Saccharomyces cerevisiae S288C: one gene and its partners. The gene in region 2 interacts genetically with the main gene of each other region. Each region holds a gene or a part of one and is shown on either strand. Other genes may lie near its edges.

The links. Genes that interact genetically often act in the same process or in processes that back each other up.
Region 1: mutations in YBL055C (region 2) and YAT1 together harm fitness more than expected from each alone (negative genetic interaction), as found in Saccharomyces cerevisiae (one large-scale study listed by BioGRID).
Region 3: mutations in YBL055C (region 2) and YGR210C together harm fitness more than expected from each alone (negative genetic interaction), as found in Saccharomyces cerevisiae (one large-scale study listed by BioGRID).

The regions. Positions count from the first base shown.
Region 1 is NC_001133.9:188,344-192,756, reverse strand, and holds YAT1 (carnitine O-acetyltransferase YAT1), read right to left. Parts: upstream 2,565-4,413; coding exon 501-2,564; downstream 1-500. Other genes in the region: oxysterol-binding protein related protein SWH1, read right to left, coding at 1-138; YAR035C-A (uncharacterized protein), read left to right, coding at 340-420; DUP240 family protein MST28, read right to left, coding at 3,946-4,413. UniProt on the Saccharomyces cerevisiae protein: Involved in the transfer of acetyl-CoA into mitochondria. May also be involved in the metabolism of acetate and of ethanol.
Region 2 is NC_001134.8:112,774-120,493, forward strand, and holds YBL055C (3'-5'-exodeoxyribonuclease), read right to left. Parts: upstream 4,057-7,720; coding exon 2,800-4,056; downstream 1-2,799. Other genes in the region: PTH2 (aminoacyl-tRNA hydrolase), read right to left, coding at 28-654; type 2C protein phosphatase PTC3, read left to right, coding at 989-2,395; TOD6 (Tod6p), read left to right, coding at 4,816-6,393; SAS3 (histone acetyltransferase), read right to left, coding at 6,606-7,720. UniProt on the Saccharomyces cerevisiae protein: Has both endo- and exonuclease activities. Incises double-stranded DNA without obvious specificity via its endonuclease activity and excises the DNA from the 3'-to 5'-end by its exonuclease activity. May have a role in apoptosis.
Region 3 is NC_001139.9:913,003-916,690, forward strand, and holds YGR210C (uncharacterized protein), read right to left. Parts: upstream 1,737-3,688; coding exon 501-1,736; downstream 1-500. Other genes in the region: thioredoxin TRX2, read right to left, coding at 1-225; zinc finger-containing protein ZPR1, read left to right, coding at 2,239-3,688.

The DNA.
Region 1 (4,413 bases), on a different chromosome or scaffold from region 2:
TGGGTCGTCTAGCGGCTGGAATTGTTTCTTTAGGAGATCTTGTAGGTTGGGGAAACTTCCCTGGCGAAGGGCGTCGAGAAGTTTCAACTTCAGCAGCGGCTTACTGATGGCCACAGACGATAGATCAGGTTGTTCCATGGTGTGTGGAGGGGTGAAAGGTGTACTTTGATGTTTAAACTTTTCCCTTTTTATTTTTTTTTTTTTTGGCAGTTTAATTTAGTTTGAGTGCTTCTATTTATCCAAGTTTTGAGTTTCCTTTTTCCTTTTTTTTTCTTTTTTTCCTTTCCCTTTTTGGTGCACGTTCGCTCGGCGAGTAAAAGAGGTAATCCAAACGACGGGATGAGATTAAATTACAGTCGCTGCTATTATAGTAGCCAGCGGCGGCGCCAGTCACTTCCAAAGCGTTTTCCTCTTATTTAGTATATTTAATAGTATGTAGTAGTAGTAGTAGTAGTAGTAGTAGTAAAAATAATATTGATGCGCAAAAACTCAGCATAAACTCAACCGGACACGCTCACGTCGAAGTAATCGTAGCCGGACAACAGGTATTTCATGTCTTCTGATTTGGTGTTGGCGCTAGCAGTGGTCCTGGCAGCGGGTTTTGCTGCGCGAGCTTGCTGCCGTTTGAAGATGCGGTCGATCTCCAGCAGCGACTTTTCCATGAGCGACGCAAACCGAGCAGTCTGGCGATGCCTTGAGGACACCACCACAGAGACGGAGTGGTCTCTGATGATGTAGCCGATGCCGAAGCCGTTGGCGGTGACAGGCCCGAACCCGAAGCTCTTGAGGCAGGGGTTACCGCAGTTGGAGGTGCTCAAGACGTTGTTCTGCATGGTAGTCCAGGACTTGTCGCGGAAGATGGGTGGGAGCTCCAACTTGTCCTTGTACCATTGGTTCCAGAGGCAGTAGAGCGCATACAAGTGACGGTCCTGGCCGAGCCCCTGGGAGCATTCCCTTGTGATTTGCGAGTGCGCCGTACAGGCGTCGTGCAAGAGCTGAATTTTGGTGGCGTCCGAGGCATCCTGGTCCAGTAGTGACTTGACAAAGAGCTTCGATTGGCCCGTGACGGAGCGGATGGCCTCTGTGCGGCCGTTTTGGAACGCCTTGGTCATGGCAGGCTCGTACACGGTCTCGAAGCGACCGTACAACGCGAAGTATGCGACCTGGAACACCTGCTGCACGAAGGCGTCTGGCGAGCACTTGAACACTGTCTTGATATGGGACGCGCCGTAGTTGGAGAAGTCAAGATTAACAAACTCGTATTGCGAGATCAAGTCCGAGATGCGCGTCTCGGCAAAGTGCAGCGACGATTGCAGGAAATTGTCAGTGCGCCATTCCAGTTTACGAGGGATGGTGATCAAGTTGGCGGAGTGAGCCGCCGAGGCCAACGACGACGACGATGGTTTTCCATCGTCGTCGCTAAAGATGTCGACGACGTTCTTGGTGACACCGCGTGCGAAGCTCAGGATCGAGTCTGTGTAGATGTCTGTGGCGAGCCGCAGCACAGTGTGGCCGTCCACACCGGTGTGTTCGAAGTTGATGCCCGCCTTACCGTTCTTGGTCACGATCAGTTGTAACTTGTCGTACCAGCGGTTGAGACAGGTGCCTGTCTGCACGTTCAATGGCGGCTGGTGTTGGTGCGGGTCGAGATTGATGGTAGAAGTCCCGCACAGCATCGAACGCGTGAGCTCGTCCTGCTGATCGGCGGCAAACGCCACGTCGTCGAGACAGACCACGAACAGCGCGGAGTCGATCAGCTTGAGATTGCGCCAGTTGGTGCAGTCGTCCGCATGGAACAGATAGTCCCTGATGTTGGACCACACCCGGCGCGACTCTGTGGTGAACACGCCAAAGGGCGCGGATCCGCTTCCGGCGGATTCCGCGTCCATGATGATCGAGTAGAGGTTCCACTCCAGTTGTTCTGGGGTGGCGAAGATGGGCTCGTTGCGTGTGTCCAGCACGTCGAACCAGTAGAACTGGCCACGATACATCGCCACCACGTGATGCGACGTGGCGTCTGTTTGCAAGTGGCAAGAGGGCTCGCCGGGACCCGGAGGGATTCTACTGGAGCCGAATAGCCGCTCATACTGGTCCATCGACAGCGGCGTTTTGCCGCGCACAGTGTCTGTGCGGAGTGTGCCGTGGCGAATCTGGCGGATGAACTTGAGAATAGAGGTGGTGAGTCGTGCGGCACGACGAACCTGCACCGTGTGTGCGCCATAGGGGCCCTGTGCCGCCGTCTCTGGTGTGTCTTTGATGGTTGGGTCGTCCTGCAGTTGGAAGTACGGGTTGACGTTGAGAACGACAGTTGCATCATATAGCAAGTACGCGTCATACCAGAACTGCTCGATGTATGAGGACTCTGGGTTGCTTTCCGCGAGCCGTGCGTCGTATTCTAGCAGCCGCTCGTGCAGCGTGTTCAATGCGTCCAGGTTTTCTGCGGAGAGCACAGTGCGGCGCGTACGGCGGTTTTGGCGCTCGTCCTGCAGGGGTTCCACGCGTGCCAGGTAGCGGTTGAGCGTGTCCTGCAGTGGCGGGATGGGTAGTCTCTTTAAGTTTGGCATTGTATACGGAAAGGAGGGGTGGGCGGGTGTGGTTATTGTCGTGTGGTTATTGTCGTGGGTGTGCTTCTATGTTATGTGTGTCTTGTATATATATGCGCGTTCCAGTTGACGCTGATACAGCCCGCCGGGCGGACGGAAAGTCCGCGGGGATGACCGCGGACCGCCGGGCCGATGACTCTAGTGCTGATGCTGATGCTGATGTTGTGCTATATGCTTTTTTTTAGCCGCTGATGACATATAGAGTCCAGATGGGGAGTCCTTTCAATCATGCTTTTCCTTGCCCCTTTACTTTGGACTATGCACTCATGATTGCCATTGTGACTGGAGAGATCGTGACACTGCTGATGGTTTTGTCATTCCGCACGTCCTACGTTTAGAAAGTAACGATGCCAATCTTCATCACGGTAAAAGTAATACGGGGTGGGGTGTTACTGATGAGAATTGGGGGAATTTTGAGATAATTGTTGGGATTCCATTTTTAATAAGGCAATAATATTAGGTACGTAGATATACTAGAAGTTCTTCTCGAGGATTTAGGAATCCATAAAAGGGAATCTGCAATTCTACACAATTCTATAAATATTATTATCATCGTTTTATATGTTGATATTCATTGATCCTATTACATTATCAATCCTTGTATTTCAGCTTCCGTTGAAAACGATGACTATTTCTCATCATTTGCGTCATCTTCTAACACCGTATATGATAATATACTAGTAACGTAAACACTAGTTAGTAGATGATAGTTGATTTTTATTCCAACAGTTACGTAAACCGTTATCAAATAAATACGCTCAGATTCAATTCTGATTAATTTTCATTGGGGCTGATGCTTTCGCTGCAAGTTGTCATAGTATTATTTATTTATTAATACCTTAGATTTTCTTGACAATTAACCAATTTTTAATCATTAAACTTAATAATATTTAATGCTACTGTACTTTTTATTATTATTTATTATTAATTTATTTATTCGTTCATCTTGTATGTAATCGTCCTCCGTTCTTTTCCCTTTACCGCTGGCTTGCGCGCGATGATTTCCACTAAAAGCTTGCTTGGAAATCTCGATCACCGACATACGCCCTGAGAATGCTTATAGGAGCTATTGAGGCGAAAGAAGTGGAGGGAAAGTAATATCCCGAGAACGAAAACGCAAGGTTTATTGTCATGAAAATGCAAATGCACCGTTGACAAAACCAACCACACGATTATCACGACTACTACCATAATAGGTAGGCAATGAACCACTTTGTTCAGCAAATGGGTCCAACACGAATCGACTTTTCGAGGCTTCCTTCGGCCGTTTTCCGGCCAGTTAGTGCTGATTATATATCATACTCTAGTTTATGTTCGCTTTACGTATGGTAGTGTCTCTAAGCTATTCCGTCTTTTTAAGAAGCGCATCGATATTGGGATGCCGCCTTCGCCAGTAATTTTCCTGAGCTTGTCGTTCGATCTCCGCTGCCTTGAGCAAAAAGTTTTGATAATTCAGTCTGGAACTAGGAGAAGCTGACTCGATGGCATCTTCAGGCTTAGCGGTGACCGGAGAATTGCCAATTGACGTGGCTGTTTGCTTCTTGGGGGTTACTCCCTCAACAAGGCGTAGAAAATAACGGTAGCAATCCTCATCGCTGTAAAAGTAATACGGAGTATGCCATTGCCCATGATTAAACAAATATTGGTTCATGTTGTATGTGATGATCCTCCATTCTTTCCCTTCTACCGCCGGTTTACGTGTGATGACATCCACTAAAAGCTCGGTCCTAAAATTTCGACGACTGACTAGCTTTGGATTACCATCACTTAATATTATTAACAAACCTACAAGAGAAGTAAAAGCAAATAT
Region 2 (7,720 bases):
ATACCCGTAGTATATATCATTTGTACCTCAATACAATTTCAAATCACCTGTTATTTGATCCAATACTGCTTTTGGAGCAGGTCCTAAACCCAATACGGTGGCACTTCCCGCAGCAATCTGTGTTCTACCAGCATCATGAATAACTGCTGCATTCACCCCAAGTGATATAGCCTTCGCATACAACTCGTCCATTGTAAACTTATCTGGACATTTCAACGTTATTTTAGCCTGTCCAGCATTTAGCCATCTTTGTGTCATAATTGGGTTGTATGAAGCACGCGCGGGGTTTGTAGCAATATGTCTAAAACATGACAATGCTGCGTGACAGCATTGTGCCGCTATTTTGCCCTTTGTCATGCCAAGATCTTGACGAATCACCAATGCCATCCTAACTTCTCCAGGTATATCATTCAATGAAGTGGACTCAATATCTTCGTCCTCATCGCTCTCATCTTCGCTTTCACTTTCCTCCTCATCAGTGTCATTGTGTAGCTTTCCTTCCTTCATTTCTTTAGAACGCAGTAAAGTAGCTGAGGATTTCTTAGTTGATGATGCGTTCGACGTACCCAACTGGTAACCCACGGCAAAGGAGATTGCGGTGAAAGTAGCCCATAAAGCTATGGTGTAATTCGAAGAAACTGTCATCTTTTCCATTAAAAAGACGTTATCATGTTACTCCGCTGTCAACAAGTAATATAGCAAGAAACAATTAGCTCTTATGCTTAAGAGCTTCTAGAAGAGTAGTAATAACCTTTAAACATTATTTTCGTCAGGCGTGATATCAGCGAGTTGAAGAAAAAACAACATGGGTTGTCCCTCAAGAGAATAAACTCAAAGGAGTAAAAGGTGTTTAGAGCTTGTTGGCTCGATTGTTGCCACCGGAAGGCCCCTTTCTGTTTTTAGACTATATTCATTTTACTTTTTGAAGTTTCTATTATAGGCAGACGAAGAAGGCCAAGAAGACAAATCGAAGAAAGAGAGAGATAACATGGGTCAAATATTGTCCAATCCAATTATCGACAAAGAGCATCATTCTGGTACGGACTGTTTGACAGCGTTTGGACTATGTGCCATGCAAGGCTGGCGTATGTCCATGGAAGATGCCCATATTGTTGAGCCGAACCTTTTGGCTGAGTCTGACGAGGAACATCTCGCATTTTATGGTATATTTGACGGTCATGGTGGTTCTTCTGTAGCGGAGTTTTGTGGCTCTAAAATGATATCTATACTGAAAAAACAGGAGAGCTTCAAGAGCGGTATGTTAGAGCAGTGCTTAATAGATACCTTTTTAGCTACAGATGTTGAGTTGTTGAAAGATGAAAAATTAAAAGATGACCATAGTGGTTGTACAGCAACTGTGATATTGGTATCTCAATTGAAAAAGCTACTAATTTGCGCCAATTCCGGTGATAGTAGAACAGTTCTATCTACTGGTGGTAATAGTAAAGCAATGTCATTTGATCATAAGCCCACATTGTTAAGTGAAAAATCTCGTATTGTAGCTGCTGATGGTTTTGTTGAGATGGACCGTGTTAATGGAAATTTAGCGTTATCAAGAGCCATAGGTGATTTTGAATTCAAATCTAACACAAAATTGGGACCTCATGAGCAAGTCGTTACATGTGTTCCTGATATCATTTGTCACAATTTGAATTATGATGAGGATGAATTTGTTATTTTAGCATGTGATGGTATTTGGGATTGTTTAACTTCTCAAGAGTGTGTTGACTTGGTTCACTACGGTATAAGTCAAGGTAATATGACGTTGAGCGACATTTCATCTAGAATCGTAGATGTTTGTTGTTCACCCACAACTGAAGGCTCAGGAATTGGCTGTGATAATATGAGTATTTCCATTGTTGCTTTACTAAAGGAAAATGAATCTGAGTCACAATGGTTTGAGCGTATGAGATCAAAAAATTACAATATCCAAACGTCTTTTGTCCAAAGAAGGAAAAGTATTTTTGATTTCCATGATTTTTCGGATGATGATAACGAAGTGTTCGCAATAACCACCAAAAAATTACAAGACCGCTTGAATCGTAGTAAAGATAATGACGACATGGAAATTGATGATCTTGATACCGAATTAGGCAGCAGTGCTACTCCCTCAAAGTTATCAGGTGAGGATAGAACTGGCCCTATTGACTTGTTTTCGTTGGAGGCTCTATTAGAAGCCGGGATTCAAATAAGGCAGAGGCCCAGCTCCGACAGTGACGGCAACACTTCTTATTTCCATGGTGCTTCTTTATCAGATATGTTGGCATCTTTAAGCAATGCGGCTGCAGGAGAAACAGAACCTAATGATGCTGATGATAACGATGATAACGACGGCGAAGAAAACGGCAAGAATGAAAATGCGAAGAAGGGTTCCAAGATTGAAGAAATTGAATAATAAATATTGTCGAACCGTACTTTGCAACGAAAGAGTAGTCAAACTTTGTTATCTTTATTTGTTATTCCTCTTCTGCCGATGGATTGTTTTTTACTGGATCATCTTTGCGGCCCATATTGAGGAGATGGTGAAATTCATAAAAATCATTACGAGAGAATGATAAATTGTAACAGAATTTATAAATCCTATTCATATAGATACATCTGTTTTTCCTTACTCTGTTTTTATTTTGTTGGTAACCTTTGAATCCTTTTTGATGAAAAAAATAGAAAAAAAAAAAAAAAAAAAATGAAAGCAATATCGACTGTATGTATATGCGCACCATAATTTTCCTATTAATAGTTTAAGCATAATTAGTGTACTTACTAAAAATAATGTAACTTTGCTCTTTGCACCAATAGATGTTACTCTCCAAATATCTTACAGGTCGTCTTCCACGTGGTATCTATCAAAGTAGCCAGATCCACGTCCTTGACTTCCGATACGACAATTGCTACTTGTTCCATATTACAAGGCTCATTACGGCCCTTGACCATGTAAAGTTCTTCTGCATTCAACTTGTCAGCGAGCTTATTTTTCTTAACGGACTTGAATGCAGGGTATTCGAAATCCCTAACCTCCTGGTATTTGGCTAAGTACTGGAAAGATGCATGCGTTCTTTTAATCTCACACCACGGAGCATCTGTCTCTAATAACAACCTTTCTGTTGGTATTTGCTTTACAACAGCTAGATTTTCCTCGGTTCTCAACGAGCAACCGTTTACTCCTATGAAGATGTTGGGTGATAAGTTCAGTAATTTCTGCAAATCTATCGCAGAACCAGTGAATGAATGGACCACTAGTTTTCTATCTGGATGAAATTTGTAAAACCCGCTAGACGACGATGCACCTAACTTTTGTAGCTGAAAGGTATCCCTCTCATCAGTGAACCCGGCAATAAATCTTTCCAATATTTGAACAAAATCGTCACATGCGCTTCTCATATGCAGAAACAATGGATAGCTGCTGAGTTTATCGTTCAAACAACTTATTTTCAGTTGCTCTTCAAAAAAAACCTTTTGCATCTCTTTAGAACTATAGTGAAATCTGTCGTAGTCCAACCCGATCTCACCAATTGACCTGAAACTTGTATCATGAGGTTTTGCTTGCTGATTCATCAAATCATAAAGCTCTTTCAGTTTACCCTGTGCAAAAGATGGATTACTAATAACTTTAGCATATAGAGACTCATTATATGCTTCATCCATGGAAGGGTTATCAATAGAAGCGCTAGCCTTGTCCCCTTGACTAGCATCCGCAAACTCGTTAACGCAACATGGGTGAACACCTATTGTGTGATACAGCTTTAACGGGCTAAGATCTTTGACGCTGCTTACCAACTCAATGGCACTTTGAGACTCCGCTATGGATGATCCTGTAACAAGGGCATTTTTCACGTGCCTCTGAGCAGCACGCTCTAATAATTTTACATAATCTGCTGGATGGTACTGCTTACCATTGTAAATACCGTGAAACATAGGATCTGTCAGATTCAATCCAATATCATAGTATTTCAGCGGAGAATCCGTGGCAGTTGATGTCATGCTATAATATTGTGTCAAAATTGGTTTCCAGAGCCTAGAACAACTTTTGTTCGAGGATTTCAATAAGATGCCCCACATATAACTATAACAGTACTGGCGCCTCAAAAAAATGCCTTGGCAGCGAAAGTGTCCACCTTTAGTTGTCCATTGCTACCAGGACATCACCACTGGGCCCTTCCAGCATGCTGGAAAGATTGTTCTTAGAAGAGTGCTGTTCTAAGTAACCCGGCGTTAGTAGGGGCTAAGCCTTCTAGAAGGCCGGAAAAGGCTCAGAAATGCCTGCAGTGCAAAGCTTTTCAGGAACGTTACTAGCGCAAGTCTTCTGGCTGCTGTTTAGCAACCTCTTTGCAGGTATTTCGCAGCGGGATTTCGCAGGTGTCTTGCCTAGCGTATCAACACTTAGTAGCAGTTAGGTTCTAAAGTTAAACTCCACTTCCGTTCTTCTTCGAGTTCCTTTTTGAGCGGTTTGGCCTATCTTGTCTCATCATCTTGTTAGTGTGCGACGTTATCTGTGGGTGAGAGAGGCTATTTTTGGTCCGGTGAAAAAAAAATTTTTTCTCTGCTGAGAGCTGAAATTTGAAAATTGAGATGAGATGCGATGCGATGAGATGCGAGACCAATGCGATGAGACACTTTTCTACTTCCTTACACAGAAGTCGTGTATAGTTTTTGTACGTTGATATTAATAAAGGCTTTTCATATCATTTTGTTTTCAGGTAAACAAATCTGGCAAATCTCCACTGCTTGAGTCATTAAAACTACTCACTCAAGAAGGCATATACACGACAGTGGGTAGAGAAAAGAATATATCACTGTTCTTATTGAAGTTCCCTCGCGATGACGTTGCCGAAACTCAGTAGCGTTTCTGTTTCATCAGGACATGTTAGTGCCAACTCACATGGTTTCTCAATACTAAGCAAACACCCTCACCCAAATAATCTTGTCCATTCCCACTCACTTTCTCACACAAATGCGAAGAGCCACCTGCCTATCAGTAGCACTAGCACTAAAGAGAACAGCACGAACAAGGAGGAGGCGGAATCACTCAAAAAAAACAACCCCTCTTCTTGGGACCCTAGTGATGATATCAAGCTCCGCCACCTGAAAGAGATCAAGAACTTGGGCTGGAAGGAGATTGCACATCATTTCCCAAATAGAACTCCTAACGCTTGTCAATTCAGATGGAGGAGACTGAAATCAGGCAACTTAAAGTCTAACAAGACCGCAGTTATTGACATCAATAAGCTATTCGGCGTGTATGCGACTGGTGATGCTACCCCATCCGCGGGTACTCCGTCTGCGGAAGAAGCCGTAAAAGAGGAAGCTGTTGAGGATGAAGATATTACTGCAGGTTCTAGTGCTATCGAGGATTCTCCACCGGATTTCAAGCCATTAGTTAAGCCTAAATACATGGACAGAAAACTGATAACTCAAAGATCTACATCAACATTTTCGGACCATGAGCCACAACACACGAAACCAAGGAAACTGTTTGTTAAGCCAAGGTCCTTCTCTCATTCTATAACAACCAACACGCCTAATGTAAAGACTGCTCAGCAGACAAATCTAAGCCTTTATAACACTACTTCAGCAAAGACAAATAAAGCTGTTAATTCCAATGATTATGAGAATATTGGTCTTGTGCCTAAAATTATTATCAGGTCTAGAAGGAACTCCTTTATTCCTTCAACTCAAATCCCTCATTCAACGACGAAGACTAGGAAAAACTCGCATTCCGTAATTTCTTCTAGAAGATCATCTTTTAACATGATGCATTCAAGAAGATCATCCTTCAACTCTCACGCTCCTACGGAGCCTATTTCTAGAAGAGCTTCCTTGGTAGTTAGCCCGTATATGTCACCCAGAAGGTTATCTACATCGCAATCCGTTCATTATCATCCACAGCACCAATACTATCTTAACCCCATAGCGTCTCCCAACTGCAAGACAGACCACGCAAATGACAAAATCACGCACACGAGGACTTTCTTAGATATGCAAAAATTCGCTAATAAACACCCGTGGTCTAGAGAAGATGATGAAGTGCTACTTAACAATACGAAGGACAAACAAAACCATTTGTCGCCGCTAGAAATTTCTATTGTTCTGCCTAATAATAGATCCGAGTTGGAAATCCAACAAAGAATGGATTATTTAAAGAGAAAAGGACGTGTAAGTGGTTTTCATACAAATGAAGGATGCAAAGACGAGGAGGAGGAGGATGACATTGACCCACTGCACAAGGAGAATGGCATTAACACGCCATCGCAGCAATCGCAAAATTACGGTATGTTAGAGGCTAAACATGATAATCCAAAGTCTAGTGAGCTTTCTTCTATGACCAGCGCAAATGACATACGCAATGAGCAAGATGAACTTCCAGGTATAAATTCTATCTTTAAAAATATATTTTAAGCTAAGAGACGAATTTAGTTTGTTTTGACTATTCGTTTAATGAGTACAAATTAATCGCACCCACACATGTACACACACACATATATATCTTTATATATACACATAAAATTTATTCGTAGGAGAATTCTGTAATACTATTGACTACAAGGGTTCTTATTGCTATTAATAATGTTACATGTATATGCTTATATCCAATATATACCCATCGCCGCTTATTCTTCGTCATCCTCTATTAGAGTTATTTTTCTTCTTTTTCTGACTCTCTCCTTCCTTATGTGGCTTTCTATATCGTTTTCATCCTGCTCTTGTCCTTTTCTCTTCCCATCCTCATCATCATCACTGTCTTCTTCATATGTGTCTTCCTCCTCATCATTTTCTTCTGATATTTGCTCATCCTCAATGTCATCATCAAGGGTAAAGTCTTCGTCTTCGTCTTCATCTTCTTTGGCGTTTTCACCTACATATAATTCAGTATCTACATCGTTTTCTACTTCATCCTGCTCTAAACTTGATATTCCAGTATCGTTTCTCCTAGCTGCATGATTTCCAAGTGGTGTTTCGGAGTTTTTAATAGTGAAGCAGAGCTCCCAATGAGTTTCTGTACTAAATTTTGATCTTGGTATCCCTTTGCGATCATGGATGCTTTCCAGCACTCTTTTTTCCGCTTGATAGATTAATCTATCATTATTTGTGTTCTTATAATCACACATATACTCTGTTAAGGAGGAAACAGTGTCTTCAAAAAAATCAGTAGCAGGTACTTCCGGTTCTATGATATTGTTTACATGAAGCTTGGATGTTTTGTGCTCACTACTTCTTCTTCTTCTTCTTCTGCGTTTATTATGTGCTCTACTGTTGTTATAGTTTTCTATATGTGTGTTATTCGAAATTACCGGAGCCATAGTTTCATTTGTAAGAGCTTCGTCCGCTAATGCGGTGGGTTCTAAGTTCATCATCCCATTTATACCAAATGACGGCCCTAATATAATAGGTTCCCACAATAGTTTGTCATATTTGACGCGAGGATAGTTTTTTGAGCTCCAAGTTTTGTAAATATTTTCAATCCTGTTCCAAGAATCGATTTTAATAATATAGTTGAAATCATCCAAACTGGATAATGAGCGTGTTTTATGGCGATACAAAACTTGAAGTTGTTCCAATCCAAACACAACGTCTGTTGGTATCATTCCTGTTAGTTTAGCGATATCGTTTAGGCTAACCTGCTGAAAAGTATCTTCATTTTTATTATTTGATCGACGTCTAGCACTGTCTCTTAATTTTAATAGCACTTCAGCACATTTTATCTTCCAAAACGTTCTGTAAGTCA
Region 3 (3,688 bases), on a different chromosome or scaffold from region 2:
GGTAGGCATGGAAGAAACTTCAGCTTTTTGAGCAACATCTGAGACTTCATCAACATCCAACTTGTAAAAAGCAGCGTCAGAATATTGTTCTGCAAACTTTTCAATCATTGGTGCAATCATTTTACATGGCCCACACCATGTGGCAAAAAAGTCAACAACGACTAACTTGTCGCCAGATGCTAAAGCACTGTCGTATTCAGAAGCGGATTTTAATTGAGTGACCATTATTGATGTGTTATTTAAAGATATCGTAGACTCTCGTGTATGTGTGCGTGTATAATTCTTGCTAGACAACAAATAAAAACTGGTCCTCGTTATTCTCTTGTCAGCTTTTCATCCCCCGAATGGCTTTCTTATATACTGATATCCCTCTTTCGGCTGGCTGGAAACTGAACGCGCTTAGTAAGAAAAGAGCCACCTTGTAGGGAGCATCCTTTACTAAGAGTATAAACAATTACACATATACTTTGATGATTACTTAATATTCACTGGCACTCAAGTTATGCTGATCTTGGAGCGATCTTGAAGCCGAGTATGTCATTCTTACCGGGCTCAACAAGACTTTCTTCACTGACTCTCACGCCGCCAACGGTTTCAATGCTTGCAATGGTGACCTCGCCACCCATGATATACCTGGCAACTTTGCCAACAGGGGTTCCTCGCTTGACCAAAAAACAATCTCTAAATACGTTGGTTCCGTTGCCACCCGTAAAAGTCTGGATGTTCTTCACAGTGTACACCGGTATTAGACCAAGGATGTCCGTTGCTGCTTGCAGAACCTGAACAACACCCGTAGATCCGAATCTATACAGGACCAAATCTCTGATATTTTCAATTCTGTTAAGGATCTTGTCGTCCAGTGGCTTTAGTTTGTCTGGCTCGTCCTCAAATGTGTCAACAAATTCCGTGCCCTCCTCGTATAATATAAAACCTTGCTTTTTCAATTTCCTCAAAAAAACTTCCGTCACTGCACTGGTCAGTACAGCTTTGGTGTCAGGATACTTTAGCATGATTTTAGAAACATTTTTATCGGCGTCAGGGTGGTCAATCTTGTTGAGTGCCAACACAGTTGGAAATTTCTCCATCATAAAGGACTTGACCACTCGAGTGATCCATTCGTCATCCCATTTTTCCAAAGGTGGTAGTCCCTTCAACCTGTCCAGGGCTTTTTGGATCATGGGCGCATGTGAACCGTACCCACCGAATTGCGCTTGAAGTGTGTCCACTATGCTAGATTTCGTTGCTGTATGTTTACGCACAATAGACCCCCATCTTTTCTTCAGGTTCCCCTCAACCCAAAGCCTGATTTCGTCTTGCAGCCATTCTATATCGTTCAATGGATCATATCCTCTTGTGTTCTTCCCCTCTGCATCTGTGGTTCCACTAACGTCCACCACATGAATAAGAGCATCTGCGTGTCTTAAATCATCCAAGAATTTATTTCCAAGCCCTCTGCCGGAATGCGCTCCAGGCACAAGCCCTGCCACATCCAACAGTTTGATGGGGATATGCCTCTTACCCTTGCTACACCACCCGTAGTTAGGTTTACAAAGATCTTCCTTGCCAAATCTGGAGCAAGCACACTCAACTTGCAAGTAGCCGGTTGCCTGATTTGGCTCGATCGTGGTAAAGGGAAATGCTCCTACCGCCGCACCTGCGTCCGTCAAAGAATTTAATGTGGTGGATTTCCCTGAAGATGGCTTACCCACAATACCAATCAATGGATCCCTGGGCATACTGGCTCTATTTCCGTTTTATTCTTACAGACAGCTTATACTACAAGTTAGTTGGACAAAAGCTAAAAGACGGAAAACGAAAACGCAAAATGAAAATAAAACCAACTCTCATTACAATTCATCCTAGAACACTTACACATCTGTTTTGCACTGCATAGCATTACATTTCTTGCATATCTATCTATTCGAGAAAAAAAAAAAAAGGCATCGAGTGAATTTTTCACCTTGATAAAAAAGCCCTTACTAACCCTACAATAAATTGTGCCGAAACCCTCTGGAGTTTTCTAGAATATTCTAGCCCCATCAGGGCTAGAATATCCTAAAAGTTTATAGTTGACGAAAATTTTTCAGCGATGAGATGCACATTTATAATGCTATGATGTTCAACGCAAAGGAAATCATAGCGTTATCGGGTAGGTTCGCATCGTTAGCAATAGCTAGTCGCATATATACACAGAGATACATATTATACCTATACCGTTAAGAAATAGGATAGAAAATAATGAGCGAACAAAAGGAAGATTTGTTTAAACCAGTAGGAGAAGCTGCTGCAGAGGTCGAAGATGAAAGCATAGCCGAACAGAACAAAGCTAATGACGGCGTCAAGTTAACCGGCGCACAGGACGCCATGGGCCATCCAGTGCAAGAGATAGAGTCTCTTTGTATGAATTGTGGAAAGAACGGTACAACCAGACTTCTTCTGACTTCCATCCCTTATTTCAGAGAAATAATTATTATGTCATTCGACTGTCCTCACTGTGGGTTTAAGAACTGTGAGATCCAACCCGCTTCTCAAATTCAAGAGAAGGGCTCTCGTTACGTTTTGAAAGTGGAGTGCCGTGAAGATTTTAACAGGCAAGTTATTAAGTCAGAAACTGCCACTTGTAAGTTTGTCGAGCTAGACATTGAGATTCCTGCTAAGAGAGGTCAATTGACGACAGTTGAAGGTTTGTTATCCGAGATGATCGACGATCTGTCGCAAGACCAGGAAATGAGAAAATCTATAGACGAAGCTCTTTACAAGAAGATCGATGACTTCATACAGAAAGTTAAATCCTACATCAATTGTGAACCCAACACTATTCCGATTACATTTATTTTGGATGATCCTGCGGGAAATTCCTGGATCGAATACAAACCCGGTGAACCTCAACACAAATGGTCTCATACCCAGTACGTGAGAACCGACGAACAAAACGTTCAAGTTGGCATTATTACTAGAGACCAGTTGGAGCAACGTCGCCAAGAACAATTAAAACAATTGGCCAACCGTGAAAGAAATCCTTCTGAATCTGTCAAAGTTGGCTCAGCAAACCCACAGTTTTTGTCAGACGCCACCGACATCGAAAACTTTAACAACGAGGTGCAAACATTCAGAGCTTCTTGTCCATCGTGTACCCAAGAGTGTGAAACTCATATGAAGCCAGTAAATATCCCACACTTTAAAGAAGTCATTATCATGTCGACGGTCTGCGATCATTGTGGTTATAAGTCTAATGAGGTGAAGACCGGTGGTGCCATCCCTGACAAAGGAAGAAGGATTACTTTATACTGTGACGATGCAGCTGACTTGTCCCGTGATATTTTGAAATCTGAGACCTGTAGTATGGTAATTCCTGAATTACATCTTGATATTCAAGAAGGTACATTGGGTGGTAGATTCACCACTTTGGAAGGTTTACTAAGACAAGTCTACGAAGAACTAGAATCCCGTATTTTCACTCAAACTTCGGATTCCATGGACGAAGCAACGAAAGCCCGCTGGGTAGAATTTTTTGCCAAGCTAAAGGAGGCCATCGCTGGGAAAGTCAAGTTCACAGTCATTATGGAAGATCCATTGGCCGGGTCGTACATACAAAATGTCTACGCCCCAGATCCGGATCCAAACATGACTATCGAAGATTATGAAAGAACTAAAGAGCAAAATGAAGACCTGGGATTGTCCGATATCA